Arabidopsis thaliana: one gene and its partner. The protein of the gene in region 1 interacts with the protein of each later gene in a pairwise test. Each region holds a gene or a part of one and is shown on either strand. Other genes may lie near its edges.

The links. The genes of interacting proteins can lie anywhere in the genome.
Region 2: the proteins of BLH7 (region 1) and NAC066 interact in a two-hybrid assay, tested with the Arabidopsis thaliana proteins (one large-scale study listed by BioGRID).

The regions. Positions count from the first base shown.
Region 1 is NC_003071.7:7,102,228-7,105,985, reverse strand, and holds the start of BLH7 (BEL1-like homeodomain 7), read left to right. Parts: upstream 1-2,057; 5' UTR 2,058-2,571; intron 2,572-2,745; 5' UTR 2,746-2,785; coding exon 2,786-3,337; intron 3,338-3,422; coding exon 3,423-3,758. Other genes in the region: AT2G16405 (Transducin/WD40 repeat-like superfamily protein), read left to right, coding at 1-71.
Region 2 is NC_003074.8:22,928,689-22,932,446, reverse strand, and holds NAC066 (NAC domain protein 66), read left to right. Parts: upstream 1-1,990; 5' UTR 1,991-2,039; coding exon 2,040-2,211; intron 2,212-2,421; coding exon 2,422-3,254; 3' UTR 3,255-3,441; downstream 3,442-3,758. UniProt on the Arabidopsis thaliana protein: Transcription activator of genes involved in biosynthesis of secondary walls. Together with NST1, required for the secondary cell wall thickening of the anther endocethium, which is necessary for anther dehiscence.

The DNA.
Region 1 (3,758 bases):
AGAACTTGTTGGCTTCGTCTGATTTCTATGGTGTTGTCATTGTATGGAAAAGAGCAAAGACAAGCTCATAAGGTTTGTCTATAATATTATAAATGAATCTAAATCCGTCATTTTTGCCACAAAGGCTTTGGGTTTGGCATCATCTCTGTATCGCTAATCTCAAAACTGTGTCAATTTAGTTTCCCATCTCTTATAAAGATATAGTTCTGTGACACTCCTATGCACAGATTCAATAGCTTAAATGGTTGGAACAGACACGTCCTTAATGAGTTAATAACTCTTTCCATAGATAAGTTGGTAGACAATTTGAAGAGATCAAGTTAATTGTACTCGCAATGTTTTTTGTTTTGTCACATTATCATGAACCAGATTAATTATCAGTAAAATTAATGAAGATTACATAAACAACATTCCATTGTAGTCTAGTTGGTCAAGATACTCAGCTCTCACCCAAGAGACCCAGGTTCAACAAGTTCCGGCAAGCTGGTTCATCTAATTCTTCAGGGGACCAAATGGAATATGATACTTGGTTCTCTTAGAGAAATGTGGCTCTAGGATTATATTGAATTCAAATTATGTAACTGATGAGCATTTGGTGCTTATATTAGTGTGGAAGTGGTTGGACTAGATAATCATGCTAATAATTAAACGTATTTCAACCAGCAAAAAGAATCCGAGTGTTTTGTGTATTAATTCTTTTACTAAAAGCAATAGAATCTCAACTTCAACGTAAGTAGGGCACTAATAAAAACTTAACATTTACAATTCTCTTATTTCCCAAGCAAATATCTTCGGCGTCATGTTCATATTGGATTAATAATAATAAGAAGAAGGGTTGGTTGGTCGTCGTATATTATGAAGACACTCTTCCCTATCCACTGACTCTATCTGTCCATTGTCCAGGTCTCTCTCTCTCTTTCTCCTTCTGCCATCTCTGTCCCAATTCAGACTTCTTTCTCTTCGCTACCCATCATTTCACGTTCTTCACTTATCCACCCCAATTTACTATTTTTATTTTCTTTTCAAGTTTTTATTCTCATATTTTGAAGTGTAAATTTAAATAAAATGCTTACCTATGTTTTCCCACAAAATTAACTCTTGTGTATTTCGTAATTTTTTTTTTCATAGAAAATAACTAAATCACTTAATTCACAAAAAGTCTATTTTGGTCTCTCCATGCAAAAACTATAACCTTTCAGTGTGTTGGTAAGAAAAGGTGGTACCACCATTTTCTATCACACTAAGATATCTCACCACACATTTTAATTTGACTTACCTCTTACCACCATTTCGTACCACCTTATACTACAAATCAGACTTATTATAAAATGTCTTGGAGTTGGGATTTTCTCAATTTGTTTCTGATTCGTAATCGTAAAGTCCTCCATGACAAGATATGGACCTACACTTAGTGAAAAGAAAGTAAAAGTTAGAAAATTTGTAGAAATACCTAAAATCTGTGGGCACAAAAAGACAAAGCTAAGTGGGGAAAAAGGCCACTTATTCATTATTTATGAGAAAGAGATAAGAATATGAAGTGTTTTTTTTTTGTTTATTCCTTGCAAAAATAGTTGTATGCAAATGCAACTATATAGTAAATAGCATGTGGACCATCACAGATATTATTCGAAAGAACAAAAAAAAATCAAATGTTGAAACTTGAAAGTGAAATTTAAAGACAAAGAAGAAGAAACTGTAAAAAGCTTACCAAAAAAGTGAAATTATTTTATTGAAAAGAAGTTGAAAAAAAACATCCGTGTGTAAACTTTGACACGTCGTTACCCAAATTATTCCCCACTCTAATAAAGATGGACTAGTCTACACAAAAATTAATATTATCTTTGATTACAAATCGGACATGAAATATTTAAAAAATTGCATAGCACCAAAATTAGATATGAAAAACGTTCATTATATATTTGTCTTATTCTCCAAATATGCTTGATAAACACATTATTATAGAAGAATTACGAAAATATCTTTTACTATTGACACCAATCAGGAATATATCAAATATTTTTAGATAAGAATATAAAAAACACAGAAAATGATTGTATGGTGGTTATAGCTTCATTCAATTTTATTGCAGCAAACAAACAGAAAGGCCAGAGAGACGAAAGAGAGAGGCATTAGGGTTTAGGATTAGGTTTTAGAAAAGGGTTTAGATCTCTACCAACTGGTTTGTTAAGAACATAATCTCCTTACCACATTTTTACTCTTGAAAACATTTTGATCTGTTTTTGTTATCTTCACCAAAAGACTTGACTCCAAGAAACAAGAAGAAGAATCAAGAAGCAAGTTCAAGAACCAGCTTTTAATGAAATCTCTACTTCAAAAAGGAAACTTGCTTTAAGGAGGATGGATCTTTTGTTTTCTTGAATCTTTTGTGTGGGTAAAACATTTTGTATTATCAAGATTTTGATTTGAGGAGATAAAGAGTTTGTTGTTAAGTTTGTGTTCTTGGGATCATCAAGAGTTAAAACAAAAAAAAAAAAACATTTCTTTTTTCCTTCTTCAATTTGAGATTTAGTGTCTCCTTTAACACCCACAAAGCCAGCAGATGCTTTCCTGGTAATTCTTTAATCTATCCTTTCTTCTTCTTTTTAAATTCTTAAATTCATGCAGAGAGATAATTCTCATAATTTTCATTGGTTCAATTTCTTAAAATTTGCTTAATTAAGATTTTATTACATAATGTGAAGTATAAAAAGGGTTTAGTGTTGTTTGTGTTTGATTCTGAAACAGATGACTCCTTGTTTGATCTGATCATAAGAAGAAGAAGACTATGGCCACTTATTACAAAACTGGCTCAAGTGAGATTTATTCCAGACCAGAATTTGTCCCTGGAAACGCAATGAACTACACAAATTCTTTCACAGAGACATTTCCTAGAGATTCAACTAATAATGTGTCACCTTCAAAAGAGATTCAAGTGTTGTCAAGCCTTGGTGGAGTTTCACAAATGGTTGAGATTCAAGATTCTGGTTCTTGGAGAGATCAAGAAGACAATGACAGGAATCGCTTCCCGGTGATGAGGCGTCTTGGCCTCAGCTCGCAGATTGAGACATCGAGAGGCAATAATAACAATGAGTATGCAACACAGGTTGTTTCGGGATTTACTCGAACCATTCACAACTCAAAGTATCTCAAAGCTGCTCAAGAGCTTCTTGATGAAACTGTTAATGTTAAGAAAGCTCTAAAGCAGTTTCAGCCAGAGGGAGATAAGATTAATGAAGTGAAAGAGAAGAATCTTCAGACGAATACTGCTGAAATCCCTCAAGCAGAGAGGCAAGAATTGCAGAGCAAGTTGTCGAAACTTTTATCGATATTAGACGAGGTAATCCGCCTTACAACATATCTTCTACACTTGTTAATGATTCTCGTGGTAACATAAATGTTGTTTGTTTCTTTGTTGTTTGAAGGTGGATAGAAATTACAAGCAGTATTACCATCAGATGCAGATAGTCGTGTCGTCTTTCGATGTAATAGCCGGATGTGGAGCAGCCAAACCATACACAGCCCTTGCGCTTCAGACCATCTCGAGGCATTTCCGTTGCTTAAGGGATGCGATATCCGGACAAATCTTGGTGATAAGGAAAAGTTTAGGAGGGGAACAGGATGGATCAGATGGGAGAGGAGTGGGGATAAGCAGGTTAAGGAATGTTGATCAACAGGTAAGGCAACAAAGAGCGTTGCAGCGGTTAGGTGTGATGCAACCTCACACTTGGCGGCCTCAACGCGGTTTACCAGATTCTTCT
Region 2 (3,758 bases), on another chromosome or scaffold:
TTAGAGATTATTTAATCTTCCCTATTCAATGCCAAAAGTCTAGAAGAGCAAAACAAAAGGGAGAAACTCTTTTATTTCAGGCCCAATGACACAAAGCTGGCCAGAAACAGTTTAAGATTAGGCTAAAGTTATAAGTCCGACAAGCACGAGTGCTAATATATATAGTTATATGACGTCTCACCATTAAGGGTTTAATAAATTTTGAAACACCTCAAATTAAGATTGCTTCCCATGCAAACTTCCTTCATCTTCTAGAAAAATTACGATTTGTAATACTTCAATTATATCATTTTAGTTTTTTGTCACTAATTATCATCAATTTATCATAGCTCCGTGCCGCAACAACGTTCGTTTTAATCAGATTATATATTACTCTGCTATAAACTCAGAACCATGTTAGAAAAATGAAAAAGACATTTCAGAATATTCATTAACTCAAAATTTTAATCTCATGATTTAATTTTTTATTAACAATGTTATCCTATAGCACATGGCAAATTTGAACGGCCCTTGCGTATTAATCTATTATAATCTCAAAACCATGTGTAAGAAAAAGGAAATTCAGAAAATAACCTTTTGTAAATAGGCCCCCACAAAATCTACAACATACGTAGATACCTCCTCGCTTACAGTTGTAAACAACTGTTCATCTAGATTCATGCCGTCATTCAAGTTTAAATTAATACAATAATTTAAAATTTTAATTTGGATGAATCGAATCCACCGTCGTTTCCTGAATACCAGATAGGTTAACTTTATGATTAGTTCGAGTGAACCACATGCACAATATTCGAATCTTAGACATTCGTTGCAATGTTAACTTCACATATATTTGATAAACGCTTCTTGAATCAGATCTTAATCTCTTTCTTTCTCTCCATCTTCTAAGGAGGTTGTGGATTATCATGTAGTATATCATTATCTTCGCATCACCTTCAACAAGAACAAGCTACGAGCTTTAAAGTCGTATTTAACACAATAATGTATAAAGTCTTTCTTCATCACATCACATACATTTTTTGTTGCCATCACCCTTCATTCACTTTTTTTGTTAACACTATTCGTTTCTATATAAAATAAAAATAAAATGAGGAATGTCTTGTCCATAGAGATTTTTAAGGTCGAGGGTCATCGGAGCGATGTGGGCTTGCTTCCTACATTATAGTTGATATGTGGATCCCGCGTGGACCATATTTTTACCCAATAGCTACGTGCATGGTCCCACCGCTCTCTCTCACGCACTATTCCGAAATTGCCATAAACAATTTCACCGGACAAAAAGAGCAAATAATTTCGATGTTTAATAAAGAGACCATTAGTATATTTGACCCAAAAAAAAATAAAAAAAAAAGAGAGACATTACTATAACTTTTATTAGATGAAATATTGCAACATTGTATTTATAACGGATCTAATTTACTGAATCATATTTTTTTTCTTTGTTAAAGAGATACTGAATCATGCAGAAAAATAGATAGATTTTTAAATACTAGGTGAACTCATGACGAATCAACCATTACGAGAGATTTCTGGATAAAAGCAAAAACAAAACAAAACTAACATGCTAATCTAGGCAATTAGTAGAGCGAAAAGTCGGCAAAACCAAAGGCCGAAGAAGCTTGATCGATATACTTTTTTTTTTTTGTTTTGGCTGGATATACTTGGTATGAACTAAGAATTAAGTAAAAACTCATAGGGAGTAATTTTTCGAGAAGTGCATTCACTATGAGTATAAAACAGACATTTTCAAATTATTAAAACAAGCTCTTAGAGGCTCATATGTTTAATTGTAAGTGGCGGCTCATGCGAACTTATAATGAAAACATCAAATATTCGGAAAAATAATACTCCACTGTTAAAAAGAAAACTTAACAAAGGAATTAAAAATATGAGAGCAAAAGAACACATGCATTTTCTCATGCATGTACTATTATTTATTTTTTTGCAGAGTTGATGTAAAAAATATACACATATATATAGACATACTTTGGTTAGTTATAAACTCGTTCTATTTTCTTCTCCTTTTTCTATCTTTAGCAATGAACATATCAGTAAACGGACAGTCACAAGTACCTCCTGGCTTTAGGTTTCACCCAACCGAGGAAGAGCTCTTGAAGTATTACCTCCGCAAGAAAATCTCTAACATCAAGATCGATCTCGATGTTATTCCTGACATTGATCTCAACAAGCTCGAGCCTTGGGATATTCAAGGTTCATCATTTATCTTTTATTCTTGATGAAACGTATTAATAGGGCTTGTATATATTAATTAAATTAGTTTTTTAATGCATGTGTTGAGTCAAGAACTAAAGCTCTGAATTCAGGAAATTTTGCAGAGTAATATATACTTTTTGTGATAATAAAATTTGCAGTAACAAAATTCAGTCAAAACTTAACACAACTCTTGTTTTTTCTATGTAGAGATGTGTAAGATTGGAACGACGCCGCAAAACGATTGGTACTTTTATAGCCATAAGGACAAGAAGTATCCCACCGGGACTAGAACCAACAGAGCCACCACGGTCGGATTTTGGAAAGCGACGGGACGTGACAAGACCATATATACCAATGGTGATAGAATCGGGATGCGAAAGACGCTTGTCTTCTACAAAGGTCGAGCCCCTCATGGTCAGAAATCCGATTGGATCATGCACGAATATAGACTCGACGAGAGTGTATTAATCTCCTCGTGTGGCGATCATGACGTCAACGTAGAAACGTGTGATGTCATAGGAAGTGACGAAGGATGGGTGGTGTGTCGTGTTTTCAAGAAAAATAACCTTTGCAAAAACATGATTAGTAGTAGCCCGGCGAGTTCGGTGAAAACGCCGTCGTTCAATGAGGAGACTATCGAGCAACTTCTCGAAGTTATGGGGCAATCTTGTAAAGGAGAGATAGTTTTAGACCCTTTCTTAAAACTCCCTAACCTCGAATGCCATAACAACACCACCATCACGAGTTATCAGTGGTTAATCGACGACCAAGTCAACAACTGCCACGTCAGCAAAGTTATGGATCCCAGCTTCATCACTAGCTGGGCCGCTTTGGATCGGCTCGTTGCCTCACAGTTAAATGGGCCCAACTCGTATTCAATACCAGCCGTTAATGAGACTTCACAATCACCGTATCATGGACTGAACCGGTCCGGTTGTAATACCGGTTTAACACCAGATTACTATATACCGGAGATTGATTTATGGAACGAGGCAGATTTCGCGAGAACGACATGCCACTTGTTGAACGGTAGTGGATAACGGAAATGGAAGAGAGGAAGTGACTAAGTGAGTGACATACCAAAACATTGTGTAGAAAGATATAATAATCATCATACCATATATATAGTTGTTGAAACTTTTACGGTATAAATGGTCAGATTGTGATAATTACAGTACGTAGTTATGTGATATCATTACAGAAAATAAAAGTTCTCTATATCTGTGTACATTTTATATCATGATTAACTTTATAGAAAAGAATTGGTTGCATAGTTGAATTTCTTTGGATCAAGAATATTAGTTTTTGTCTTTTTGAAACTTAATTGCCATTCGATGAACAAAAAGGCAATTACATTTTCTACTGTAAGAAATCATAGTCTGTCACATGCATCGCCGGGTGTTTTCTAATTACAATTATATGAAAAAAGGATTTTGACCAAAAGTTGATTATGATTTCAAGAGAGACAAAAGACCAAAATGATAATTAATTCGTCGACAAATTAACTTTAGGAACAGATGATTTCCATTACGTTAATTATTCAA